Diceros bicornis minor: one gene and its partner. The protein of the gene in region 2 interacts with the protein of the main gene of each other region in a biochemical or structural test. Links are inferred from orthologs where the notes say so. Each region holds a gene or a part of one and is shown on either strand. Other genes may lie near its edges.

Evidence for each region.
Region 1: the proteins of FOS (region 2) and RUNX2 form a complex in vitro, tested with the Homo sapiens proteins (2 studies listed by BioGRID). The link is inferred for Diceros bicornis minor from reciprocal best matches to the Homo sapiens genes FOS and RUNX2.

Annotation. Positions count from the first base shown.
Region 1 is NC_080753.1:20,599,985-20,615,039, forward strand, and holds the start of RUNX2 (runt-related transcription factor 2), read right to left. Parts: upstream 5,699-15,055; 5' UTR 5,672-5,698; coding exon 5,294-5,671; intron 1-5,293. UniProt on the Homo sapiens protein: Transcription factor involved in osteoblastic differentiation and skeletal morphogenesis. Essential for the maturation of osteoblasts and both intramembranous and endochondral ossification.
Region 2 is NC_080763.1:23,183,457-23,197,987, forward strand, and holds FOS (protein c-Fos), read left to right. Parts: upstream 1-7,100; 5' UTR 7,101-7,236; coding exon 7,237-7,377; intron 7,378-8,150; coding exon 8,151-8,402; intron 8,403-8,809; coding exon 8,810-8,917; intron 8,918-9,041; coding exon 9,042-9,683; 3' UTR 9,684-10,488; downstream 10,489-14,531. UniProt on the Homo sapiens protein: Nuclear phosphoprotein which forms a tight but non-covalently linked complex with the JUN/AP-1 transcription factor. In the heterodimer, FOS and JUN/AP-1 basic regions each seems to interact with symmetrical DNA half sites.

The DNA of each region.
Region 1 (15,055 bases), on a different chromosome or scaffold from region 2:
TTTTAAGGGGTAGAGAGCAGTCAAAAATTGCTCTTTAACTAGTTAGGAGTAAGCACGCAATAAAAGTTGTTTCCACACTACCCAATACAAAAGTTCTGTCCTGCAAAGAATAATTTGTGATGAAATCTTAACAATTACTTTTCTAGGTGTTTTTAAAATACAAAATTTACAAATTCAAGAAACTTCATGGGAAAGAGGGAAGTCATTTTGTGTCCTAACATTTCAGAATAGAGAAACAAGTTCCTTTATTTAGCGCACCTCACTATAACCAGCATTTAAATCACATGATACGTAGCTTTTTCAAAATAAAGTAAAAAGCTATTTAACTCTAGAAACGCTATTGAAATTTTGTTTGAGACTCCTTATGATTAGATCTGTGAATTACTCTGAAAGAGGAGCAACGGAGAATTAACTCAGACCCTGAAAATTGTTTCTGTGGTCTTATTATATGGAAATTAAAATTGCCTATGACATATCCATGGACAGAAGTCTAGTCTTAACTAATCAATTACTGCTACGGACCAATATCATTTGGCACATTGTACTTGCCGCAAAATTGAAATATAATTATTTTTCAAGATAGAATCTGATCAAATCCTTCTTTGGAATAAAAAGAGAGGTAAGGAACTAATTGCAAGAGGAAAAGTTTTATTCCTATAGTAATTATTTAAAGATAACTTTAAATAAACTATCAAAAAGTTCCACAAATATTACAGCTGATTTTTAGAATTTAACCTAGAATTTAGGAAAATCCAACTGAATTGTAGAGAAAAAAGGCAATACAATATAAAATATCATTTCGTAATTTTTAAAATACATGTCAAAGACAAATTTGATGGGAATTATTTCAATTTAAGCCAGGAATTTGGGTGCCATGTATCAAGCTGGTTTAAATCATCTAACAATGGATATTCTGGAATTTTGAAAGAAAACAAACAGCAATGCCAAAGGGGAGAAAATAATAAAAGATATCTTCCCATGACTGTTTTCAAATATAAGTTTTTTTTAATTTTTTATATATTTATTTTCCATTTAAAATCATTTAGATTACCTTACTAATAAGTTTTACATATTGAATCCTAAAATTTTTAACTTTAAATAATTTTTACTGCATTTAAAGACATAACACAAAAATGTGTCTGCCCTCAGACAACTTGAAATCTATTATGATTTACATAATTTGCATAACAATTCATAGTAGGCTTAATAAGGTTTGAACAGATTTAATAACCTGTTTTCCTTTGCGTAGGTATAATTACATTCAAAAAGACACAGAGATGAAATCTGATCATTAAATATATAAGGAAAATACAACTCACTAGTGTCAAATATTTATTAGTTGCCTACTTGTTTTTGAAGAAAAAAATGGCCAATGATGTTGAAAAAATTATTTTCAAAAAGAAATTGCTCCATCATTTTGAAACCCTACTTATGACAAATACTGAAAGGTCTCATTAAACATATAGAATTAACTATGAGTGATAGATCACATATCTAAAAATGTGTTTTCTTTCTTTAACATTGCCAGAAAAACATATGATACTAGTAAATATGCAGTCCAGTGTTCTCTAACTTAAAACAGCACAATAGTCTTGCACTACTTTTAGTTTTAAAATATACATCTGGACTTAAACTTTCCGCATAGTGTTTCAGCAGGAAGCTATTTAAAGCAACTGAGTTATGAGCCCTGAACACCAGGTTTCACGGTGGAAATGCTGACAGAGCCCTAACTGGAAGGGTGCTACTGGATACAGGGTGGACATGTTCCTCCACCACTTCTACCTGACCATCAACTATTGAGCTTAATTTGCAAACAGCTTTTTTGTCACTAGAATTATCTAGGACAGAAAAGGCCTGGGATCCTCTAATAGTATCCCTTAACTATTTTAAGCTTTCAGTGAGATACACCTGAAAGAAATGTTAAAAATATTTATTTCCATTTCCTTGACACCTGGGAGGACTGAACATTTCAAAACTGTAGAACTTTGTTAAAAATATAATGCTAATAAACAACTTTACATATTTTAAAGTGTACTAGTTGTTTTTGCATTTTTCCATGTTGAGTATAAACGAATTAAGTACTTTTGTGTATCCCCAAAACAAGATCTTTTTTTGTATAACCCCAGATCTCTACTAATAGGTTACTTCCGTCTTAATACTATAGGTTATCAATATCATTTTGAAGCACTATTTTAAATTAACATATCAAAACACAGTCTATTGAATTCATTTCTGATTCTCTACAGTGCTGAGCTCAGTGTCACAGACATAAAATACGGGCCCAATAAATACCGTATTGATTTGAATACCAGACTTCCCAACAATTGAGTTCTCTGTGTGTGTTTTTAAATATATTTACCTATCCTCTATCTACCACACAACACTATAATTTACTTTGCACATAGCTCTAAATATGATAGCCAAATTGCTATCATCACTTTTAAAACTAAGACTTCATATTATTTCTTCATTGCAGATGTATTTGATTATGTTGCAAGAGTGAAGAAAGTCTATTGCTCTCAGGCTTTTATCTCGAAAGTAAGGTAAAGAGAGGCTGTTTTTACTAACGTTCAGATGAAAATAAAAACTGTTGTCAAAATCTAGATGTTCCAAATATCTACACCTCTTTTTCAGCAGAGACAAAACTTCTATATTGAGTGGATCTCAGCTATCATCAGCTATCTGAATTTTGTTAAACACAGGCATGGAGGTGGAAAACATTGCGAGTCAAGTTTTAGGTTAACTGTTTTTCAATTAAAATATATAATTTTATATGTCCATGTGTTGTCTACGGTTTTGTTTACTGTTTGAAAGTAAAATTACTCTGTAATTAACAAGTATAACTAATAGCAAAGAAAGCAATTTATTTTCAAAATTAATTTTAAAATGGTGGTAATGAGAAAATCTAAAGATAACCAAAATATCTGAGAAAAGCTCAAACTAAATTGCATTCTCTTTATGCCAAAAACATCTTTTCTATCCAAAATACTAATACTCAAAATTAACTCAGCAGCATAAACATAAGAGAATAGTTTAAGACAGTTATACCTAAAATACGTTTAGCAGAACAAACGGAATGTAAAACATCGAACATCTAAAGGATATCTTTAAAAATGTAGGCACCTATCCTTATATTTTCACATATCTTGACTTGTGGCATTGTATAGACAAAATATCTACTTATTTGCATTATTTGCTGTTTTCACTCAGGTTTTTTGTTTATGTTTTGAGGTTTTTTTTGGGGGGGAAGGTTGGTGGAAACAAATTTCTCACATAAGGCTAAATAGAAAATTCTAGGCCCTTGGACGATGAACATTGTAAAAGATATCTCTTGTATGGAAATTCAAACTTCTACAATTCACATATATTCTGAGTTTTTCATATTTCAAGGAAGAAAATATAACCTACAAAATGGGTAGTTTACAAAAGGAGAAATGGGACGGTTAAAAAAAAAAACACATTTCTTGAGCCAACTGCAAAATGAAACTTGCCCCAGAACGCAACATCCCCTTTCCATAACAATTCATTCTGATTTCTTTTCTGATATAAGACCCAGCGAGATACCCAGCTCTAATTGACCTGGACTCCTCTTTCCACGCCACCCACACACGGAATCTGAATTGGTGCGTGGGGGGCAGGGGGCCGATCAACAAATGGGAACTGCCGGTGGCCCGTGGGAGTTTCGCCCCAGGATTCCCAATGCAGGAACTGGCACGATTCCTCCCCATTTTCCCCCTCCCTCAAGGCCTTGCTCACCCTGCTCTCCAGAGACCCCAGAACCCAGGGGACCCAGGCCCACCTTCACGAGTTCAGAGGCTACACAAGGCCGGAAGCGCCTTTCGGAGCGCGCTCTCCTCCCTGTCTGGCTCATCGCCCCCTCCATCCCCGGCGTCCAGTCCCGCGAGTGAGGACAGCCCAGGAACCCGTTTCCCCATCAACCCGCCGCGCGCTCGGCCTCGGGGGCTCCGCGTCTCCCCCTGGCGAGGGCTGCCCGGGGAAATCCTGATCGCATTACGGAACCCCCTCGGGCTCCTGTGAGAGGCTCGGGACCTGACACCCTCAACCTGCAGCGCCGCCGCCTGCGATCCCGCCGCCGACACCCGCCCTCCAACTAACGGGCCGGGCTGGCGGAGGAGGCCGCGGGGCGCGCCGAGGGCGCTCTTAAGCCCCAGGGGTCACTCCCTCCGCGCCCAGGCCACCGGCCCGAGCCTCCCACGACCTTTCAGAAGCAGGAGGGACCCGTGGGATTTCAGTCCTCTGAAAGTCATCGTAAGACAAATCCGCACATTTCATCTCTGTTCAAGGCGGGCGAACTGAAGGCATTTCACAGGTTTCCTCATCCCTCCCAGGCGGGGCGCAGCGGGGAGCTGGTCCGGGCTGAACCGGGCGGCCCGAGCCCCCGCCCCCTCCACTGGCCCGCGCCGCCCCGCACTCGAGGGTCAGGCGCCCAGGACCCGGGCGCGCGCCGACCCCAGCGGCCCCGCCTTCCTCCGGTAACGGGAACTGGCGCGGGGCTGTAAGCCGCGCAAACGCCCCCGTCCTGTCTCCCTCTCACCCTCCCCGGGTCCCTAGGTTCGCCCGGGACCCTCTTGGACACGCGTAACGCGGCCCACGGGCCGCAGCCGGCACCCGGCGCCCAGTCGCGGGCGCGAACGCCTGGCGCCGGCGCCCCACGAACAGTGGCCCCCGAGCCCGGGAGGGGCCGGGCCGCTGAGGCTCAAGCGGGTCAGAGAAGGGGTCGCCGAGACGGGTGGCGGGGCGTTCCGCGAGGAAGGAGGAAGGTGGGAGCGCGCGGAATCCAGGCGAGGGGGGCGCGGGCAGCCCGCGGTGTGGGGTCGCCGGGATGCCCGGGGAGAGGGGATGCCCCGGAGTCCAGGGGAGAATGCCGGGGATCCTCGCCCCTGGGGAGTGGGGGGCGGGGTGGAGCAAGTCGGGGTGGCGGCGCAAGGAGTGGGCACCTGGGGGCTGCTGGGGGGAGGGGAGACGGCTCAGAGGAGTGGGTTAGAACATGGGCCGGGAGGCTGGAGGGGTGATGAACGGATGAAGGGGACAAGGGCTGCGGTGGTGGCTGCGGGCACAGGTGGGAGAGGGAAGCATCTGCGCAGGGTCACTGCGCCCTGAGCCCGCAGGGGGATCTGGAGGAAGAGGGCCAGCCAGGGGTCCCTCGGGTCAGAGCCACCAAGGTAGGAGGCCTTGGAGGCCGTCCGGGCGCCGGCCCCCGCGGGCAGAGAGACGCCGGCGGGCAGGTCCCGCGGCGCCCAGCCGGGGGCGGGGGGCGGCCGCAGCTGCTTACCTTGAAGGCCACGGGCAGGGTCTTGTTGCAGCGCCAGTGCGAGGGCAGCACGGAGCACAGGAAGTTGGGGCTGTCGGTGCGGACAAGCTCGGCCGGGTGGTCAGCGATGATCTCCACCATGGTGCGGTTGTCGTGCGGCGGCCGCAACCGGGGCACCGCGGCCGCTGCTGCCGCCGCCGCCGCCGCCGCTGCCGCCGCCGCCGCCTCTTGCTGCTGCTGTTGCTGCTGCTGCTGCTGTTGCTGCTGCTGCTGTTGCTGCTGCTGCTGCTGCTGTTGCGCAGCCACCACCGGGCTCACGTCGCTCATCTTGCCGGGCTGCAGGCTGCTGGAGGGGGGGCTGAAGCGCCGGCTGGTGCTCGGATCTACGGGAATACGCATCACAACAGCCACAAGTTAGCGAAGTGGCCGGGGGAGGGGGAGGAGGGTGGAAATGAGGGGCGAGGAGGAGGAAATTGGGGGGGGTGGAGGCGAGACGGGGGAAAGGGGATGGAGGTGATGGGGCTGAGGAGGTGAGAAATCAAGTTCGATGAAGCCAACTGCCGGGTGGAGTCTGACGGGCCCCGCGGTGGCGGTGCGGAGCAGTTGGGTTGGCGGGTGGGGAGACCCGGGAGGCGCTGATCCTGCCGAAGCCTTTGGAACACCCGGGGTGGCAGCTGCGAACCGGCGCGGGGATGTGTTTCGCCCGGCGAGGCGGGGGGCTTCAGTTTGCAGCTTGGAGTGGGGTCCCTTGGGGCACCACGTCCTGGGTGCGCTGGCGCCCCCTCCCAGTTGGAGTCCGGCGGTGGAGCGGAGTGAGTTCAGCAGTCCAGCTCCGGGGTCGGCATAGCCGCGCGCCACCCGCCACCGCCGCGCCGCGCCACGCCGAGCGCAGCTCCCCAGCTGCAGGCGTCCGCGCCGCCGCCCGCCCGCGCCGCTGCCGCCGCCTCCTCCGCGGCGGCCGCCGCTCCCCCCGCGCCGGCTGCACGCTCAGATTCCTCCCGCGGCGGCTGCCAGCCCGGCCCCCGGGCTCGGCTCCTTCCTTTCCCTTCTCTTCTTCTCGCCCTCTCACCGCCACCTCCTTGCATCCACTCCCTCCTGCTCTTTGCAAAGCTCCCCTGATCCTCGCGCTTCGAGGTGCCCAGAGGTAAGTCGCGGGCAGCGGAGCTCGGGGCAACGGATCTCGAGCCTGCGAATCGCAGCCGCTGCCGCCGCCCGCCGGCCGCGAGAAGGAGCCCCCCGGACGCCGCGCGCAGCTTCCGAAGCCGAGAGAGGCGGCCCCGGTCTAGGGGGAATCTCGCCTGGTTGCGTCCTCTTGCTTCTCCCCCCTCCCCCCAGGACAAGGAACCCCCTCTTGGTCGGATGAGGTTGAAGCTGAGACGCCAGAGAGCCGCCGGCTGATCTGACTGTCGTTATTTTTCGTTGTAACTTCAGGAGAGGAGGAAGGAAAATTCTTGAGCGTCTGTGCTGACTTCTCAGTACTCTTCACCCTTCCCCCACCCCACCCCCACCTCTGCCCGAGCGGCTCCTGGGGAAAAAAAGATTTTGCAGGGTTTGGGTGCTTTTTTGTCTTAAGTGACACAAAAAATTGGGGTGGAGGGAGCACTTGTCAAAATAGTTTTTAGAAACTCAAGTGGGTGGCTGGACACTTTTGTCTTCTATATTCAAACTTGTCGTTCCTAGAGAACAAGGATGAGTTTTTTTAAGGACTGGAAAACTGTCGGCTTGATGATTAAAATAAGTTGCAAAAACCTTGCTGGGGAAAAACCCCAGCAGTCTTCCATGAATTTCAATCTTTTATTAAGTCTATTCTGCATCTAAAACTAAGTCTAATGTCTTAACTTTCTTCCCCACCACTCCCGGGGGGGGGGAATAAAAATACAAAATAAAATATTCAAAATGATTCAATGGCTATTTATTTATGTATTTATTTCCCAACCTGGGTTAAAAAAGCGACTTTGGATCCCCCCAAAAAGTTGTGGTCGAGAGGATGAAGGAGCGCGGGAAAAAAGCGGCAGTTTTACCTAAAATGTGGTTTTTGGAGGCTGGGATTTCTAATGATTAGGTTTTTGTGGTTTATATAGACACGACTCTGGCTAAGGCGATCATTACGCTGATGAGAGTCAGAAGCACGTGGGTGTCTCCGACCAGCCTCAAACTCTGAGCCTTCAAAACAAATCAAACAATGTGCGGCGCCCACAGAAGCCGGGAAATCCGCTTGAGGCTATTGCACCCCTAAGAACGGGGCACAGGGCCCTTTCCACTCCACGTTGTGTACTGCTAAGTTCCTTGCTTACTGTCAAACGCCTTTAACCTCCCAAAGCTTGAAAACGTGTTTGCAAAAAGAATCATCAGTTGCCAAAGTTTCTAAGGTTCCTAATAGCGTAGCTGACACAGTAATAAGTGATTTTATAAAATAAATGAAAAATTATAATGCCTGGCCCTAGGAGTATTAAGGAAGCAAGATAGTTGAGTCATCACTTATCTCCCCTCATCTTATTTAAAACAATTCATACACCCATTAATCGGCGAATTTATTGCTCAGCGCAAACGCCTCTGTCACTCTGGTAGCGACCTGCCACAACCCTCCCTCTCGGTTTTTAAAGCTTTTCTTCCACTGGCTGAGACGGCGCTCGGGGTCTGCGCCTTTGCAGGGGCCTGGGAGAACTTCGAGAGCATCGGGGGCAGAAGGGGGGCGCAGAAGAGAAGACCTGATTCCTGTCACGGACTCTGGAGCCCATTTCAAGCGCAAGATGAACTGGCAGGGATGCAGTTGCATGACTTGGAGACCAGGATTGCCCTCTAAAGAGATGCGAGGGCGACTGAGCGTCTTCCAACCGCTGGAGCAGAGGTGGGGGGCGGGGGGGCTAGGCGTGCGCCCTCGCGGGAGTAAGGATGGGGTTCAGGGGGCACTGCTCTGTCCTTCCTCTTTTGGGCTTTATTTTTACCTTCCCTTTCTCCATTCACAATTCCACTCCTCCCTTGTCCGTCTTTCCCTTTCCCACTTTTCTCTCCACGTTCCCGCCTCTCTCCAAAATCCCCCCACAGACGCGAGCTTCGTCGCCGCGCCCCTCCCGCCTCCTCTGCCTTCCCAAGGCCGCCTGCCACCCTCGGTGACGCATTCTGCATCACCCGCTACGACACCCCCTCCTCAACCTACTCCTCGCCCCTGGCCACCTGGCTTCCAGGCCCGGGCGCCGCCGGGGTGCGAGGACCCCCTTATCCCGGCGAACTTGATGCACAGCGAGGAACCAAGCTGTCTGCTGCGCGTGCGATTTTTAATTATCTTTTCGGTCACAGGGGAGAGCTCTAACCCCGGGCACCGCCGCGCCGCCTGAGCGCACGGGGGTCGACTCTTCCCGAGCTGCACGCGGCCGACCCGCCAAGGGAAGCCAGGCTTACCCATCAAAAAAAGACCAGACTGCATCCATTACTCTGCTACCTTACACACCCACTCACATGCATTCGGACGCGCACTCTCGCACATCCACACTCTGACACTTATAAATACACATACGCAACTCACACACACTCGAATCTTTTATTTTATTCTTTTATTTTTTTGCCTTTTAGCGGGGCAGTTTTATTTTGGGCACGTTGTACCACTGTCTAACAAAGATCTCTGACTTGTTTTGTTTTTAAATGTGTGGGGGCTGCAAAGGAGGGAAGAAGTTACAGGAAGTGGATTATTTCTGTGGTCAAAGGGAGATAGAAATTCAGTAACTACCCTAGTAGGTGATATGCCGCCTTCTCTAGGGTTTTCCTTCTTCTCCCAGGAAGTCCACAGAACGGGAAACTTCCAGAAAAGACGCTAAGTAACAGGCAAGATTTCAAATATGGGCGACCAGATGGGCTTTTTTGAATAAGAAATTCTAGGGCAGTTTGAATTTAAGTAATCATCTTGGGGACTTTCCTCTGTCTTTCTCTATCGCTGTTTTGTCCTTTCTTTGTTTTACTTGGTGGATAGCAAAATATGAAGGCCTCAAAGGTTGAGTCCCTTGACTGGGGATTTTAGGGGCGATTTAATCAATGGTGAATTATTTATTTTAATTAATCATATCCGGTAATTCAGCTTTATAGCCTTCCTTGGGCATCCTCCCTCCATTTCACATTTCAGTGGAACTAATATAAGCAGCTCTTGGAAGTCACTAGTCTTGGATCCCTTAAAATATCCTACAGTTATTTATAATGTGGAAATGAAATTTTCCACTGAATACCCTAACAACGTTTCAGGTATCTGGCACAGCGGGTTTTCAGTCTCCTTTCAAAAATATCCTCTTGCTGAACATTCACACTTTCAACTGGAACTGACTTAGCCTGGAACTGATGATGTCTTGGCTCAGAGCATTATACTTAGAGGAAGAAAACATTTTTACAGACCCCTAAACTAAACCTCTCCTGGTAATAGTAGGCACATAGGAAAACCATGAAATTTTACATATGTGTATTTTGTGCTATAGTTTGCATGATCTCACTCTTGAGTTTAAATTTTCTTCTACCCCAAATGTTCAGAACAAATCACCACTAGATTCCTCTTCAGAGGTATTCATCTTTTCTGTTGTATATTATGGCATAAAAAACAACATACATTTTTCTGAAAATGTGGCTACTTCAGAAGATATAAGCATAATTTTCCCCTCCATCTCCTTTAACGTTTAATATAACTGCTTAGTAACAACAACTGGCAATTTTGACTTTCCAGACAAAGAAAATGATATGTGAAGCAGTCAAGTTATTTATCTAGTCAAAGTACTGATCCCCCAAACTAGGAACAGAACTCATGCTTTCTGCATCCAGGTTTCATCTTTTAACCCCTATACATTATTTTACATATACTTTTTCGTAATGAGAAGTGAAAAAGTCACTGTAAAATCTTAAAATAGTTTTCAATGGACCAGCTAATAAAGTGGGACAACCTTTCAGATGTGCAATGGAAAATCATGGACATAATGATGATCCTTAAAGTTTTGAATGTGTTGTATGGGAAAACGGAACCATCTTTAGCGAGTTTTCCTTTGGACTATGATGGAGTAAAAAAGTTACCCAGCCCTTGTAGAAGTGGCACTGCCACTAGATCAGGCCCAATCTGGCCTGATGCCTATTTTTGTATACACCGCAAGTTGAGAATGGTTTTTGCATTTTTAAGTAGTTGGAAAAAATTTAAAGAAGAATAATATATATGACACATGAAAATGATATGAAATTCAAATTTCAGTGTGCACAAATGTTTTATTGGAACACAACTATATTCATTTGAGTATGTATTATCTGTAGCTGCCTTCACCTAAAACAGCAGAGTTGTGTAGTTGTGACAAAGATTATATGGCCTGCAACGCCTAAAATATTTCATATCTGGTTTTTTACAAAAACGCTTTGTCAAATCCCTGCCCTAAAGTGAATGGGATGCAGGACCCTGGTGGAATGGGATAGCAGAAAGAAGTAAATATTAAAGAAGATATTGGCATGGAGTGTGTATAAGGTCCAGATTAGTCATTTAAAAGTGAAAAATGCTTCATTTAACTTATTCTTTTCTGTATAAAGTGTTAATTAATTAGACTAATATTTTTCACTTAATAATTTTGGATGTGCCAAAATAGGGAGGAAAGAATGAGAAGTTCATGCTTTTTCACAAGCTCCTTAAGAACCATTGTCTTACACATCTCTGTATGTCAGCATGTTCCATTGTCCTTCAGAGTGGGAGCACATTAACTGCATAGATGAGAAAAGAGTAAAGAAACTTTCGTGTAGCCTGAACCTGAAAAAAATAGGTAAGGCTTTAACAGTTTACTTTATCTGTTTTACAGATGATTACACAAGAAACATAAATGAGCTTACCAAGAATTTTCTGGTATATGATATTTTCACAAGTCCTACACGGTATATACTTTTAAGACAGCTTAATAACTTAAGTGATCCCAAAGCCATCTGACATATTTTTTCCATTTTAATTTTTTATACAGTTAAATACTATATGATTTGTTTTAAGCTCACTAATTTTTTCCCTTTGTGAATGGACCTATAATAATTTGCATGGCTGTAACAAGAGATGAAATGTTTGTAGTGGAGGGCTTAGCATCATAAACCTTTCCTTGTTGTTCCAGTTAGCATTCCCATGGGCCATTTTCAGGCCTTTTTAGAGAGTATGGCATTGTCATTAAAAAGCTGACACTGGCCACATGATCTTTCAGAACCACACTTATGGAGCATCTGTCTAATTGCTGTTTAGGAATGCACTGACTAAAGTGACATATATTGTGTTTGACTAAAATACCAACTTACTAAATGACACTGTATTTACCTGAAGAGACCAATGTAATTTCTAAAAAGAGTCTAATTAATTGCCCAGGAGTCAGAGAAATAAAACTAATTTTCTCAAATCAGCCCTTCGGTATTTTAGTGTTGGCAACAGTCCTAGGTGGTAGCAGTAATCTTTGAGAAGTAGTGGAATATTACATGTAAAAGTTTACAGAGGTCTGTGATGAAACATCTAAGAACACCCTAAAATTAAACATTTCCTGTAGTAATTGAACCCTTCTTTATTGATATGCTCACATATTACTTTCAAGGCACCAAGGAAGGTTGCTATCCAATTCTAATCCCATTGCCTAGGGTTCTAAAGTTCGACTTTAGACTTTGGGATGGTGGCCTGAACCATTTATCCCCTCTCCACCTCTGGCCATCAGGGTGAGAAAAGTAAGTCATAATATTCTTGGTCCATCTAACAAAGTACAAAAATCAGCATTTTCTCAGTGTGAGAAATTTGTACAAACTAGAAAGGCAGGAAAAATAGAAAAGAAAAAAAATAGAAAAACAAGTGTCCAACTTGGTTCTATTAGCTGCAATCCTAGGGGATGCCAGTTCTAGGTCACTATACTAAGTGTTTTGCTCCTCTGGATGTCATACTCAGAAACTCTTCCCCAGTGTTTTTCCCCAAGCTTTCCTGAGCTATACTTTTCTCAGAGAAAGCACTTTCTTCTTCCCATCTAGCCATGATCAAGTTCTATAAGCAATGATTCTTTTATCTTCTTTGACTTCAAATGATTCCCCTGAATTATTTTTGTTGGGCAGGATCTATTCCTCAATCACATTCCTACACGTCACTATTTTTCTTCCTGATCATTTTTCTTCCCTAGGTGTGCCACTTATCAACTTATTGCCTCTCACGTCCAAATTCATGCTTTTTACCTGCTCTGTGACAATGGATCTGGGCCCTTTAAATATTTCTCCTTACCAGCTGGCATTGATGTTTTGTCAGTAGGGGGCAAAGGAGAGACATTGCAGGAGGACAGGATTTTGCTTCCTGGTTCCCTAGTGTTCACACAGCAGGTTTCTACAGCCTAGCACAAGTAGCTTCTCCAGCTTCTGGCTCCTGCAGTGCACACACATGCAGCTTCCCCAGGGCCCAGCTGCTGCAGCAAGGGTCGTTTCTCCAGTGCCAGGGTCCTGCAGGGCACAGCCCCCAACAGCCCCCAGCAGCTTCCCCCAGCACCCTCCACCCTTGGCTGTTTTGTAGCAGTGTGCCTCTGGTGAGACACCTACTTGTGAACACATTTCCCCAGCACCCTAAAGGAGAGATCCAGCAAGTTCCACCAGTGCAACTTCTCTGCCATCCAGGGAGCCAAGGCTGTGCTCTCCTAACCAGGTCTGGATCTCAGCCCAGGGGGAGGAAGGAGGAGGACTCTTCCTTGGTTGCTCTATTTCAGTCCTGAGGGTAGTGGATGCTCTTATTCCTGTAGTCTTTAGAGTTCTCTTTACTTTTTCCTAGCCAACTCTTTGTTACTTCAATCCCTTGTTATAGTCAACAATTCTTTATATTAAACTTTCCTTGTTCAAATTACCATGTGGTCTCTCTTTCCTCATTGTTCCCAGACTGATATGCTAGAGTTTTAATTTTCTGGTCCCCAAGATGCTCTTATTCACACTAGTTTCCATTTTGGTGCACTCCATTTGGGTCACTATAAGATGAGTATTTCCATTGTTACATCACATCTATTAAATGATTTATCTCTACCTGATAAGTATATACTTAGAAGGCATATATTCTTAACAGAAGAAGGTGTGGTCAATTCTTTTTTAAGTTCTTTTTTAAATATATTACTAAATGTAAATTGGTCAATATTTCCCCCCCAGAGTCCTCTTGACATCTTCCATGAAATCCTATAGTCCACACTTCAATTAAAATATACATAAATAAAATCACACGCAAAAATTCCAGAGCTGCTCTATGCCTAGATCTGATAAAAACCAGGGCCAAGGAAGGTGGATAGATATCTTGCAGGATCAGAAGAGCAAAACCCTACCCCCGAGGAGAGGAGCGGGGAGCAGGATTATATGATGCTGCCTTATTGTACTTAAAGTCAGAGACTAGGCAATGCTATGGCTCTACAGTAAAATAAAACAGAAAAACACTGGAGGGGCCGGCCCCGCGGTGCAGTGGTTAAGTGCCGGCACTCCGCTGCTGGCTGCTCGGGTTCGGATCCCGGGCGAGCACTGACGCACCGCTTGTCAGACCATGCTGTGGTGGCGTCCCATATAAAGTGGAGGAAGATGGGCACGGATGTCAGCCCAGGGCCAATCTTCCTCAACAAAAAGAGGAGGATTGGCATGGATGTTAGCTCAGGGCTGATCTTCCTCAAAAAAAAAAAGAAAAGAAAAACACTGGATTAAACAAAACAGACCCAGCACTGCCAATTTTCTCCCAGGTTTTAATATGTTATATACATCTTGAATCTCCATGAGAAGAACCTAGAATACACCATTTCCCAAATTTATTTAATTATTGCTTCTGAGTGGACTTAAAGGTCTTTGAACTATTTTTAGAAAATACTGAGCTAAACCAAAGTGGAAAAAAATTTGTTGGAACATTAAAGGGACCATCCAGTCTAGAATGGAATATTGTAATATAGTAGAGAAATAAAGTTGAATAGGCTGCATATAGTTAGGTCTCAGATGGCCTTGGTACCATGATTCCTACCTTATACACATTTACAAGTGGGATAGTGTTCAGGCTGCTTCTAGAAGCCATGCTCTTTGTCCTTGTCCCACTATTCTAGCCCATTACCCTCCTTGGTCTGAACAGGAGAGTTGAAAGGAAGCTTCTCCGGCCACGGCCAGCAGTAGGGTGAGCCAGACGCGTCCTGCAAGTGCAGGGTCGGATCCCATCTTTATTTAAAGTTTTGATACTTTGTTCATGATGGATCTTTTGGTATTAAATTTGATTTTTAAGAATATTGCATTAAAATATTATCTTAAATAACGGGCTTCTTGGAACCCCCTCAAATTTTGCACCCAAGGCCAGTGCCTCAATTCATTTCATCCTAATCCTAGCCCAGCCCTAGCTCTGAGGGTACATGTACAGAACTTACAGAGGGATTCCTAACCTCCCTGCTTCGTCACCATTTACTTTGTTCTTTTTTAAATATATTACTAAATGTAAATACAAATTACAATAATTCCATATTCTCCCACAAAAGAACGCATCTTATAACTCTCAGTACCTAACTGAGGTTTCAACAGCAGATATAACAGAAGAGTTTGACATTCGATAACATGTAAAGGAAGTGTGTGTGTGTGTGTGTGTGTGTGTTTACCTGGTTATCACTCTTTGGCAAAAAATAGAGATCATCTGCTTCTTACTATGCAATTTGAAAAAGGTGACGCTGTGGCTTCTTTGTTGTTTAACTCTGTTTTAGAAGAACTATCTTCAATTTTATTTAAATAAAATATTTTGCAAACACAGTACAGTTAGGGCCTGTTATCTTTCATTTCTAGAACTATATCTTTGGT
Region 2 (14,531 bases):
GCAGGTAACCCATGATTTATCCTAAACCACTTGATTAATCTGGAAAAAGGAATAGAATAGTTCTGCCAAACGATTCAAATGAAGAATCCTGTGGGCTGATCCCATCCCTCAGTGCTAAGCAGTCTGAACTGGATGGGAGCACGTGGTGCTCTCTTTGTAGCCGCAGAGATCAGCTCCAGCCAGGATGGGGCTGATGGAGGCACTGCATCCAGGCCTCAGGTGATCCTGTGGTATAGTATACTTCAGTCCTTCTGTCCAGTGCAAGTCAAACAATCAACAAACAGTCAAATAATCAAGGCTGGATTGACCAAGAAGCCAAGTAAGTGCGTCCTGGGGCGGGGGCAGGGACGGGGGTGGGGGTAAGGGGCATTCAAGAAAGAATTAGGAAAACTGTACCAGTCGGTCTATTTATTGAGTGCCTGCAGTTGTGCCAGGCACTGTTCCTGGCACTGGGGAACTGGCAATTTTTCTCTCCCTCATGGAACTTACGTCCTGGCATGATTTCAGCATACTTGTAAGTTTTATTTTTTCAAATAAAAACTTATTTTGCAATTTAATATTGTTTTTATTTTGGATTACTTGGGAGGGTACCATAGTCATTTTAGTATTGGGGCCATAAAAGTTTTATTATGGCACTATTCCCAGCACTTTTAAACGAAAACACTGGTTAGGTTTTTATCTTTATGCCCAACATTTTCTAAAAAGTTGCTTGTAGTACTAGGCTGAGTTTGTGGAAAAGAAAGGATCTGAGGGATGACCCACATCAGATGAAATTTCTCATTGTGCTGATCACTGTTTCTGGGTGCGGTGGTTGTGGATTTAAAACTACAGCACCCACACCCTCTTAAATGGCAGGTAGTGGAAGCATTTAGACAGCAGATATGATGGGTCTGTACAGTTCTAAGGATGGGGGTGTACCCTTTCTGCTTATAAGTGTCTAAATTATTATGCCTGGTATAGAAGGTGCAGATCAGGCTTTTGGTTCCCCTCACCGGGGATGGTGGTGGTGGGGGCACAGGCAAGAAGTCACCCATCAAACCCCTTCATGGAAAAAGAGAATCCGTGCTGCCTTCTCAGACACATGGGCAATAGCTGACGACCTTTCTGTTTAACGTTCATTCATTCCACCAACATTTACTGAGTGCCTATTTGTGTCAAGAAGCATAGGCACTGAGGATAGACACCTACTGAATAAGACTCTGCTTTCGTAGAGTTTATGGCCTTGTGGAGGAAGATAGACAATGAAAAAGTACATAAATAAATAGAGTAATGTAGTTGATAAGTCCTACATGGAAAATAAACCGGGTAATGTGACAGACAGTGACCGAGGGGCAAGGAGGAGGAATGCACCATTGGATGGGGGACAGGACAGGCTTCCTGGAGAATGTGCTATTTGAGCAGATATTGATCATGAGGAAGAGTCAACATATCAAGATCTGGGGGGAAGTGGGAACAGTGGGTACAAAGGCCCAGCTACAGAACCAGCTTGGCATATTCGAGGAAGAGAAAGAAGGCCAGTGTGGCTGGAGTGGAGTGAAGGAGGGAAAGTGTTTCTGGATGAGGTTGGAGGGCTGGGTAGGGGGCCCGGTCACACAGACTTGGTAGACCTCGGTAAGGAGTGTAGATATTTTTCCAAGTGTACTTCTGTAAATTGGCCACTAAACAAATTTGGAGGGTTTTATGATTTAGTGTCTAGTGTTATGATTAAAGTCAGAGCCCCACTAAGTGGGAGAGTAGACTTTCACTGTACGATCTGCCCCTAAGTTAAGCGATTACCTCACAATCTTGGGAGGGTTGGAGTCTGAAGGTAGATTTCTTCAGTAGAGTCATTTTTGGGATTTTCACAGGGAACTGTAACTCATTGACACTCCACGTAAAACATCAGGGGGAAAATCAGGCCTCAGCTGGGAGTTGCAACTGAAAGTTTTCTTGTACAACACAATCAAATATTAAACTAAGACAAAAAGTGTTCACATCTGAGGATGAAACTATGATCTACAGATCAGAAGGCAGCATAACTCTGAATTCCTACATACTGGTCAGGATTTTCCGGGTTTAAGAAAGGGGATTTTTTTTTGTTGGCGTTATAATTATTAACGTCTCTTTTAAAGATCTTTCTTGTTGAGTGAGGTGGTGGATAAAACGGTTAAACTATGCTTGAGATGTCTTAAGAGCTTGGAGTATGTCACGTGCCACCCCATTTTAGCCATCCCTGGCCCGGCGCATGCCGACTGTGAGGTTTTCCCGTTGGATGGGAGCCCTGCAGTTGAGGTTTCTCAATGAGGGTGTGGTGTTTTCCTATAGGCTTAGTGACGTAGATGAGGTTCCTTTGGAATTCTAGCAGCTAAGTCCACCAGAGCCGAAGAAGGTCAGCTCAGGACGTCTGGGGAGCTGACAGTCTGAAGAAGACTCGCTGTCTGCAGAGGGGGAGCTCTTGTTTCTGCAGCAAGGTTCAGCATGACTGACAGAATGGGGGTCCGATGCTGCTGGTTGTTGTGGTGAAAGATGCTGCGAGCTTGGGCTGAAATGCGTCCTTGTTAGGCACCATAGCTGTTCCCCAGCTTCCTCAGCTCCAGATGGAGTGTGTCCCAGGGACCACACAGAGCTTTGTTTAAATGCTCGCATTAGCGGAAGGACGGGGATCCCATTGAATCATCATCTCCTGTCAAAAAGCCAAGAGTTGTTCAGAATGAAAACAGTTTTTCCCAAAGAGGCTAAATCTCTAGTACTAATTAGTAGTGGTAGTGGAGTGTGTGTGTGTGTGTGTGTGTGTATGGTGATGGTGGTGGTAATCCCATGCCTCCACTGTTTTAAAATAGGGGCAGTCTTTTTGCTCGATGTCTGAGCCACAGGGTGAGTAACTTTGACCTCTAAGACCCTTCATTGGGCTCACATGTGTCTGAGTCCTGCAAAAATTGTGGGAAGCTTCTCCCCCTTGGGTCTAGACATTTAGAATGAATAAATTAGAGGGTGGTGGTAACACGGTCATTGTCATTCCAGACAATGTGACATTTATGTATGGGCACTGGCTGTCTTTCTCATGGAGCTCAATAACAAGGATAAGTTTGATCTTTCATCACGAACCGCTGGGGAGTTCTTTATACACAAAAACTGCACCAGCTGAAAATAGCCCTAACATCTTGTTATTTTCTCTTCCCCAATTTTTGCCTATTCATACCCAAGAATAGAAGACTCAGCCTGTTCAGCCTTTCCAAAGATTTAAAGAACATTATCTATTTGATTTCTAAGTACCCATAAAGGACAATAATATATATTCACCTTGCTTGGATGAGGGCATTCATTCATTCAACAGATATTTATTGAACACCTACTATGGGCCAGGCACTGTGCTAGGTGCTAAGTGAATATCAGTACACGAAAAAGGCAAAGGCCAGAAGTATGTAGATGCTAATCAAGCGTAAGAAGCGATTTCCCCAAGTTCCTGAAGGAGTTGATTTTGCTATACGCATCTTCCTGACTTCTGGTCCCGTGCTCTGACCACAACCCTTCACCACTAGACCACACTTCCCCAAATAAATAACTACTTCTGCATGCTGGGGAGGGGTTGTATGCGGCAGCATTTACGTAGGTGGCACAGACAGCAGCCTTTCACTTAATGTTGCAATAACACCAGGCTAAACAACGTGCCCCGACTTTCAGAGCAATTGAACAAATGCTTGATGTGGATCAGGTCTCTTAATTCAAATGCCAGAGAAGTGCAAAATAGGAATAGCCTCTATCTGATAAGGAAGCACTGCTGAGGAAAACTGAATTTGTTTTCAATTTGGGTTAAAATCAGATGTGGGATGCTGACCTCTTTTTCACTTTTGGATCTCCAGACAGGAGGAACTCATCACATAGATAATCGCCAGCTACGTAAGTTTGGGTTTTATATGCTTAGACTTGTCCAGAACACAGAATCCCCGCCCTGCTGGAAGGCAGCACCATGCTTGCAGAGGCACACACATCTGTCTCAAAGTGACCCTGACCTTTGAAAGCAGCAAAGATAATTTCACATGTTGGTTCTGATTTCCCTTTATTTTAAGGCTACACCATGCGAACTCCATATTAAAAATGTGATTTTGCAGTCCTGAAATGGATACCATGAGTAGATTGAGATGTGAGAGTGTGTTAGCATGACCACGGGTTCCTATGTTAATGGGGCAGGAGAGGGAGTCTGAGATTGTATCGTCTGATACTACTGCTTCTGGTTGAGCACTTGCTTCCCTAGATAATGCTCTGGCATTTCAATCTTCATCATGTCATTTCCCAGAGAACAGTGGATCTGGGTCCCATCGCTGTTTTGCAGTCACTTCCTCTGATACTTGTGTCCAAACCTTCTTCTGTGTTCCACAGCACCTTGTTCTTGCTTCTGTCAAACCACTTTCTGCTGCCCTGCAATTCTCTAGTGATTTGCCCGTCTTCTCCACGAGGCTGGAATCTCTCTGAGGGTAGGGACAGGTCCACCCTGTTCATTACAGTGAGCGCCAGCCCCCAGCACAGTGCTTGGCCATAGGAGGCTCTCAATAGCCCTTTGTTAAATAAATAAAAGAATGAACGAAAGAAAGAATGGTTCTGTCCTTTTCAGGGGATGGATTTACTAAGTCTCCAACTCTCTGGTCATAATGGTGCCAGGAAGGAAAGAGTTAAGCTTTCTGGAGAAGACAGGTTCATCCAAATACCCTTTTCCTTTTTTATGTGTTGGCAAAGGCAGGATAAGCGATAAATGAGATAAATCCTGGATATAAAATCTTGACACATCCCTTGGGTGTTGGCCTGAGCTGCTTCAAGAGTCTGAAGGGGAAGTAAATGAAATCATTCTAGGTTTTCTCTTAAGCGGCCTGAGATCTAGTTATGAATGGAAGGCAAGCCCAGACCCAGGAATTCAGAACTTGACCTACTTTGTCTGAAGCTAATAATAATGAGAGATGGATTTACCTTTATAACTTTTTTTCTTAAATAATCAAGGACAGTGATGTAGCCTGGCAGATGACAGAATTTGGAGAACTGAAGGAAGGCCACAGAATTGCTTTACGATTCAGAGCAGCTCCAAGAAGTCTGTGTTTATGTATTATGTGTTTTTCCTTTTCTCTCTCCTTTTTTAAGTGAGAAAAAAATAACCCGCCTTAATTCCCACCAACATAAACCAGTGACATACAATGATGAAATTCTGTTTTCACCTCTGCCTGTGACAGGGAATGCAAAAATAGCAAGTGGCCCAGTTCCACGAATCCCCGCCTCCCTGCCCTCCCGGCTCCCGCCGGGTTCGCATCTCTAAGAATGGAGGTTAGCGCACAGCCGCGCGCTGGCCCCGCTCAGCCCCCGGACCCGGCGGATGATGTCAGGCGGCGGGAGTGGCCGCAGCCCGGCCGGGGAGGCCGAGGCCCCGGGGGAGCGAGGAGGGAGGGGGCCTCGCCAGGCCGACGGCGCGCCCCGCCGCGCGGCGTCGCCTGGAGACGGCCCTGGCGGCGCAGTGTTGCTGTAAACAGCCGCTTCCCTGTTACTATCTATAGCAGGATCGCCTGGCTCCGGGGTGCGGCGGCGGGAGGCAGGTCGGCGGTCCCGCTCCCCCCGCGCCCCGAAGGATCCGCCCGCTGCCCTAATCCCGCCTCGCCCCTCTCCAGATGCCCACCACGACCTCCGGGCCCGAAGAGTGGGGGAAGGGACACAGAGGCTCTGCGGGGACCTTCGGCTTCGCGCCCCGGAGGTGGCCGATACGCTAGGATCGAAATGGGGCAGTGTGACCCCTGCGGTCCTTTGCAGGGAGCAGGAGGCTGGGGGCGTCTGGGGGCGCAACGCACTCCTCGAGCACCTTGCCGCCCCAAAGCCCCCATTTCCAGGCCACGGAACCGCGCCTGAGGTCCCAGCGGCGGAGGTCTCCGGCCTGGGCGCTGCTGGGCATGGTCCTTCCAGCGGCCCCGGTCCTCCCCCCTCCAAGTCTGCGCTGGAAAATCACCCGCTGCGGGCTCCCTGTATGCCCAGCTTCCTGGGGGAACGGAACCACTCCCACCTCAGCAGCTCAGACTTGCGCCCCTCCAAGAGCTCACTTCACTAGGTACCCCGAACTGACGACCTTGTCCACATAACACCCTCCACCCCCACCCCCGCTCCATGCCCCGGGCCCCCCTCAGAACCAGGCAAACGCACGCTTCAGACATCCTTGCATGAAGGTTCTGCACGATGTTTATTGGCTAGTGTCTCAGGGATTTGACAGTAACGCTAATATCCCCTATAAGGCTGAGAAAAAAAAATGCTCCTTTTTCCTTAAAAACAAAAAAATTAAAATTAAAATACCCAGCATCGTAGACAAAGTAGGTTATCGTATTCTCTTATTTTGGATCCGCCGAATTTCTGCTTCCAAACGCAGTTAACAGTCCTAGTATTGCTCGAGCCCGGGGGTTTCAGGCGAGGGTGTGAGGGTCTGCTTCCACAGTTTGCACTGAATCAGGGCTAGAATCGGGAATGGGGGTGGAGGCGCATTCCTTCGGGGGCCGAGGCTTAAGCCCTCGGGGCGGTGTACCTGTTTCTTCCATACCTGAGCCTCAGAACTGTTCCCTGGTTTCTGTACACTGGCAAAAAGGCGCCCCCACTCCACCCGGGGAACAAGGGTCCGCATTGAACCAGGTGCGAATGTTCTCTAGCGTTCTTCGCCTTTCCCGCCTCCCCTCCCCCGGCAGCGGCCCCCGGCCCCCCCGCGCTGCACCCTTGGTGTTGGCTGCAGCCGGCAAGCAGTTCCCGTCAATATCCTCCCCCCTTTACACAGGATGTCCATATTAGGACATCTGCGTCAGCAGGTTTCCACGGCCGTTCCTTGAGGTCGTGGGGGGAGTCATCCCCGAAATCCCTCATCTTAAGGGGTCCACGAGACCCCTAAGACCCAGGTTGCTAAACACTCATAAGATAAAGAAACACAACAAGACGGAGGGGAGGGGGCTGCGAGGGCGGCGAAGGCAGCTAGGAGGCTGCAGAAGTGTCTAGGTCCGCGAGCCACCCCTGCGGCGCCACGATGGTTGCGCCCATGACGTGTTGGGCTCATTCATAAAATGCTGTTATAAAAGCAGTAGCTGCGGCGCCTCGTACTCCAACCGCATCTGCAGTGAGCAGCCGGGAAGCTGAGACAGAGCCAGCGGCGGCGCAGCGAGCGAGCAGTGACCGCGCTCCTACCCAGCTCTGCCCCACCGCTCCTACCTGTCTCCGCCCCTCAGCCCCTCGCCCCGGCTTTGACTAACCGCGACCATGATGTTCTCCGGCTTCAACGCCGACTACGAGGCGTCCTCCTCCCGCTGCAGCAGCGCCTCCCCGGCCGGAGACAGTCTCTCCTACTACCACTCGCCGGCCGACTCCTTCTCCAGCATGGGCTCTCCCGTCAATGCGCAGGTAAGGCTGGCTTCGGGCCGCCTCGGTGTCCGGGCTCGGGGTGGCCGGGGAGGAGACACCGGGGCGGGACGCTTAGAAAGACGAGTCAGTGACCCCTTTCGGTCTGGAGGGAGGCTGCCCCGGCTGGAGCAGCCCCATCTCGGGAGCCCGGGACTCCTTCGGAGCGCAGGCATGCTTGTCATAGTAGGAATTGGTTCTCCTTTCCCGCGGCAGGCTCATTCTGAGCTGCCCCCGGCCCGCGCTCTCTGACTGGTCTCTGACATTAGTTGGAGCAAACGTGTCCCAAGCAAAGACTCGCTAACTAGGGCCTGGCTCCTCCGGGGAGGCGGCAGAAAGCGGCAATCCCCCCCTCCCCTCGCAGCCTGGAGCAGGGAGGAGGGGCTGGGGAGGAGGGTGAAGCAGGCGGGTGTGTAAGGCAGTTTCATTGATAAAAAGCGAGTTCATTCAGGAGACTCCGGAGCGGCGCCTGCGTCAGCGCAGACGTCAGGGATATTTATAACAAATCCCCTTTCAAGCGAGCGATGCTGAAGGGATAACGGGAACACAGCAGAGGGATGGAGAAGAAAGGCACCGCGCTGCGGAATTCTTGGGAGGAAAGGGGGAGACCTTTCATCCAGGATGAGGGGCATATAAAAAGACATGAGCGGTCCATGACAGGACGGTTTCTCCTCCCTCTCTCTCCCTGCTGCATGCGACACTGGGAACTCGGCTCGCTCCACCTGTGTCCAGAACCTGCTCGCTCACGTCAGCTTTCCCCTTCTGTTTCGTTTTAGGACTTCTGCACGGATCTGGCCGTCTCCAGTGCCAACTTCATCCCAACGGTAACTGCCATCTCGACCAGCCCGGACCTGCAGTGGCTGGTGCAGCCGACCCTGGTCTCCTCCGTGGCCCCATCCCAGACCAGAGCTCCCCACCCTTATGGAGTCCCCACCCCCCCGGCTGGGGCTTACTCCAGGGCTGGAGTCGTGAAGACAGTGACAGGAGGCAGAGCTCAGAGCATTGGCAGGAGGGGCAAGGTGGAACAGGTGAGGAGTTCTTTGGCACCCACTCTCTGTAGGGAGTGGGCATTGGTGTAGATGGGGAGCACAGTGGAGAGGGTACAGCCACTGATGGAACTGACCACACATCCTGAACAGGGAACCCTGGCTCCAAGCCTTTTCCATCCCAAGTCAGACTCGGATAGTCCCATCCCAAGAAATATCCTAATAGGTTCCTACCTCATGCTTTTAGACTGGGCTATTCTTTCTTCTCTTGCTGAGGATCTTATTTGAAATGCAAGTCACACCCAGCCTGCAACTGCAGGTTAGCAACGGCTTCATAGAAAAGGTGCCAGGAAGCTGGGAAGCCGCAGGAGCCAGTTTCACTGGGGTGGGTGAATGGAGCTGATGGCAGACACTGTTACTGAATGTTGGTCTTCTTTTCTTTCTTTTAGTTGTCCCCAGAAGAAGAAGAGAAAAGGAGAATCCGAAGGGAAAGGAATAAGATGGCTGCAGCCAAATGCCGGAACCGGAGGAGGGAGCTGACTGACACACTCCAAGCGGTAGGTAGATCCTGTGGGTCACTCCTTTTTAAAACTTAAGAGGAAAGTTGGAGATTGGGCATAAGGGAGCAATGTCCTTGATTGAGACTGTGTCTTATGCTTTGCTTTATCCCTCTGTATACAGGAGACAGACCAACTAGAAGATGAGAAGTCTGCTCTGCAGACGGAGATTGCCAACCTGCTGAAGGAGAAGGAAAAACTAGAGTTCATCCTGGCAGCTCACCGACCTGCCTGCAAGATCCCCAATGACCTGGGCTTCCCAGAAGAGATGTCTGTGGCTTCCCTTGATCTGAGTGGGGGCCTGCCTGAGGCTGCCACCCCCGAATCTGAGGAGGCCTTCACCCTGCCCCTCCTTAATGACCCTGAGCCCAAGCCCTCAGTGGAGCCTGTCAAGAGCATCAGCAGCATGGAGCTGAAGGCCGAGCCGTTTGATGACTTCATGTTCCCAGCATCTTCCAGGCCCAGTGGCTCTGAGACCGCCCGCTCTGTGCCAGACATGGACCTGTCTGGTTCCTTCTATGCAGCAGACTGGGAGCCTCTGCATGGTGGCTCCCTGGGGATGGGGCCCATGGCCACAGAGCTGGAGCCCCTGTGCACTCCGGTGGTCACCTGTACTCCCAGCTGCACTACTTACACGTCTTCCTTCGTCTTCACCTACCCCGAGGCTGACTCCTTCCCCAGCTGTGCGGCTGCGCACCGCAAGGGCAGCAGCAGCAATGAGCCCTCCTCTGACTCGCTCAGCTCACCCACGCTGCTGGCCCTGTGAGCAGGCGGGGAGGGGAGGCAGCAGGCACACATAAGTGCCACTGCCCCAGTTGGTGCATTACAGAGAGGAGAAACACGTCTTCCCTCGAGGGTTCCCGTAGACCTAGGGAGGACCTTATCTGTGCGTGAAACACACCAGGCTGTGGGCCTTAAGGACTTGAAAGCATCCACGTGTGGACTCAAGTCCTTACCTCTTCCGGAGATGTAGCAAAACGCATGGAGTGTGTATTGTTCCCAGTGACACATCTGAGAGCTGGTAGTTAGTAGCATGTTGAGCCAGGCCTGGGTCTGTGTCTCTTTTCTCTTTCTCTTTAGTCTTCTCATAGCATTAACTAATCTATTGGGTTCATTATTGGAATTAACCTGGTGCTGGATATTTTCAAATTGTATCTAGTGCAGCTGATTTTAACAATAACTACTGTGTTCCTGGCAATAGTGTGTTCTGATTAGCAATGACCAATATTAAACTAAGAAAAGATATGACTTTATTTTCTAGTAGATAGAAATAAATAGCTATATCCATGTACTGTAGTTTTTCTTCAACATCAATGTTCATTGTAATGTTACTGATCATGCATTGTTGAGGTGGTCTGAATGTTCTGACATTAACAGTTTTCCATGAAAACGTTTTATTGTGTTTTTAATTTATTTATTAAGATGGATTCTCAGATATTTATATTTTTATTTTATTTTTTTCTACCTTGAGGTCTTCTGACATGTGGAAAGTGAATTTGAATGAAAAATTTAAGCATTGTTTGCTTATTGTTCAAAGACATTGTCAATAAAAGCATTTAAGTTGAATGCGACCAGCATTGTGCTCTTTTCATTCTGGAAGTTTTGTAAGGTTCTGAAAGGTATTTGTTGGAGACCAGTTTGTCAAGAAAGGCAGCTCCTGGAGAGGGACACACCCTTTGTTTGATCCTTTATCAAAGAGAAGGAAACTGTAGAGCTGATGTTGGAATATTTTACAAATACGCGTCTTCACATTGCAATGCTCAGATTCGCTACAGATTCTGGGGGTGGGAACATGCTGTGCATTAGCTTTCGTGGGAACATGTCTTCCTGCTTCTTTTTTTGTTTCAAAAGTCAAAGGGGGGAATATTTAAATCTAGTTGTGCTAATATTAAATTTAAATGTCTTGATCTTAAAAGAATCCTCGCAGCAAGTAGAATTAAGCTTTGCACAAACCACTTTTTAACTTTTTATTCCCACAAAATCATGTGAAGGGTTACTTCTACCTTAAAGGTGAGCAAATTGAAGAATGATTAGAATGAAAGACCTTAATATTCCACTGTTGGGATTGGAATCTTAACTTCCTCATTCATGACCCCATCCATCAGGCTGACCTGCGTCTTTAATACTTGGTTGAAAAAAAGTTTTCACTTCGTTAGGGAAAAAATAAACTTCTCAGTCCTTAACTCTAACATACATACATTTAGTTGGATTATTTTTATTCTCAGAAGGAAAGGAAGGCTACTGTTCTATCCCTATGTAATAAATGTATTGTAATTTCTGAAGCTTCTTTAACATCATACGCCTAACATTCTGGGGGAAGAAAAGGCTGGCTCAGAAGTTGAAAGAGATCTCAAACAGTACAAACAATGGTTAATCATTCAGTAAATAAAACATTACGCAATAGCTCAATAGGGAGAAGTCAACATTACCCTGAATAAGCTTTAATTTAGAAATTTTATCATCTTAAAGGAGAACATGACCTTTGTCTGGGACACCTCTGTTAATGGGGCACTTACACGCACATGTACAAACCACCAAGAAAGGAGGCGGCGCCCTTCCTGCCCTGCTCTCAGGATTCCTGCAGGCACCAGGCTTGGACGCCAGAGACCATGTTTGCTGGGTGGAAGAGGAGCTTCAGTGCCAACCTTCTAATGCTTTGGTGATAATGAAAATCACTGAGTGGTTATGGGGTGTCACATTCCATCAAGTTGAAAGTCTTAATTTAAAATGACAGTTCCACTGAGGTTGACGTTCTCACCTATGATCTGAGATCTACTATGATCTGCTCCTCATATAGTCATTAACATTTGAAAGCAACTTACTTTAGACTCTTAAGAGCACTGATACATTGCACACCACTTGCATATTATTTTTGCCTGTCTGGCAATACTGAAAGTGGCCTTAGACTCCCTGTTTGCTGTTTAGAGGGTAAATTTCCTGTAGCCTTTAAATATGACCTAAACTAAATACAGAATTACTATAACTAACACCCAGATCTGAAATAACAAGGTGATATACACTGTTAGGGAGCCAGCTGGCTCCCTTACATGTATAGTAATAACAACCCATGGAAGGAGATTTCCCAGATGGAGAAGGGAGGCTGGACCTCTAGCCCTGGACACTGAACTGCTTCTGGGGACCTGACTAATGGCCTCTGTCAGCCCCATGCTGACTACAGAGAGAGAGCATTGATTTCCCTGACAGCCCGGGCCCAGGCCTGGACACAGACCTTTCCTCTAGGTCACCACAGCCCAGCTGAGACCAGGCTGCTCCATTAACAAGACTGCATTAGGGGGCTTGCCTCGTGGTGTAGTGGTTAAGTGCGTGTGCTCTGCTGCTGGCGGCCTGGGTTCGGATCCCGGGCGCGCACCGATGCACCACTTGTCAAGCCATGCTGTGGCGGCGTCCCACATAAAGTGGAGGAAGATCTGCACAGATGTTAGCTCAGGGCCAGTCTTCCTCAGCAAAAAGAGGAGGATTGGCATGGATGTCAGCTCAGGGCTGATCTTCCTCACACACACACACAAAAGATTGCATTAAATGTCCAGGGAGGGGCCAGCCCCGTGGCTTAGCAGTTAAGTGCTCGCGCTCCGCTGCTGGCGGCCTGGGTTCGGATCCCGGGCGTGCACCGACGCACCGCTTCTCTGGCCATGCTGAGGCCGTGTCCCACATACAGCAACTAGAAGGATGTGCTGCTGTGACATACAACTATCTACTGGGGCTTTGGGGGGAAAAAAATAAATAAAATTATAAAAAAAAAAAAAATGTCCAGGGAGAGGGACTTACTCACAGGGAATCTCTTTAACAGGCTTCTCAAAGGCCTATTATAGGGTGCCACATAGGGTTGACATCCCACCAAGCTCCCTGCTATTTTCATGGGATCAAGAGAAGAAAGGAAATCTCTATCTTTTCAGTCAAAGGGCTCTTTCCAAATCCTTTCCTCACTCAGGATTCAACAGCTCCCATGGATGAGGGACACTGGGAATGTCAACTTCCTTTTGGGAAAGACTCTGATCCCTACCCACAAGATATGGCCTTACATTGGTCTCAACAAAATAACTATCTCAGGACACCATGTTCAACACTGATGTAAAAGATGCACATATAATGGCAGAGGATGGGAATAAGGATGACAGGGGTCATTTCCTGATGGGGAGAAGGTCTAGTTTAGCTCATCAATAGATATCCAGACCTGGCTCAGTGCCTGGCATTTAGTATAGGGTTAATGAATATTTGCCGGGTGGGTGAATGAATAAATTCTGTGCTATTACAACAAGCAGAAATATATTCCACATGTATTCTCAAAATTCTCCTATTCCAGGCCCTGTTATGATATTAAGCAATGGGGATTTCATATCTTTTATGTCTGGCTTCAAACACATACCCCACTTCCATCTTTGGCTCCTGGAATTCCTCCACTGCCTCCCCTGGATCATCTCTGCCAATCAACTTCAAAGTGAATGAACTGCCATTGCGCTTCTGGCTCTAATTAATTTTAGGTGGAAAAAAGGTAGAAGAAAAAAATATTTATCTCTATATGACAGTGGATTGTAGATTCTGCATCATCTTTGCACATCCCTGCCTCTTGAGTAATTATCAAAATTAAAGGGTAGCGTTTAACAATTTGTTCTAATAACAGTAATTTTGCATCAACAACTTTCCATGTGTGAATGAAAGTAAATCAATTATGCCATCTTTAATTAATGGACAAAGAAGAGACTGAGGCAAAGTAAAAGTTCTTAAATGATTACTCTAAGGAAATCATCTGAAGTTTCAATATATATATATTTTTTTTGGTGAGGAAGATTAGCCCTGAGCTAACATCCGATGCCAATCCTCCTCTTTTTTGCTGAGGAAGATTGGCCCTGGGCTAACATCCATGCATCTTCCTCTACATTATACGGGACACCGCCACAGCATGGCTTGACAAGTGGTGCATCGGTGCTCGCCTGGGATCTGAAACAGAGAACCCCGGACCCCAGAAGCAGAGTTCGAGCACTTAACCGCTGTGCCACCAGGCCGGCCCCGTTCAATGATTTTAAATTTAAAAAAAATCTAGGGGCGGGCCCCATGGCTTAGCGGTTAAGCATGTGCGCTCCACTATTGGCAGCCCGGGTTCGGATCCCTGGCGTGCACTGACACACTGCTTTTCCAGCCATGCTGAGGCTGCGTCCCATATACAGCAACTAGAAAGCTGTGCAACTATGACATACAACTATCTACTGGGGCTTTGGGGAGAAAAAGGGGGGAAAAAAAAGGAGGAGGAGGATTGGCAATAGATGTTAGCTCAGGGCCGGTCTTCCTCATCAAAAAGAGGAGGATTGGCATGGATGTTAGCTCAGGGCTGATATTCCTCACACACACACACACAAAAATCAATCTTTAAACTGTGTATGAGATGACTTTTTATTTATTTATTTATTTATTTTTTCCCCCAAACCCCCAGTAGATAGCTGCATGTCATAGCTGCACATCCCTCTAGTTGCTGTACGTGGGACGCGGCCTCAGCATGGCCGGAGAAGTGGTGCGTCGGTGTGCGCCCGGGATGGGCCGCCAGCAGCGGAGCGCGCCCACTTAACCGCAAAGCCACAGGGCCGGCCCCAGACTTCTTCCA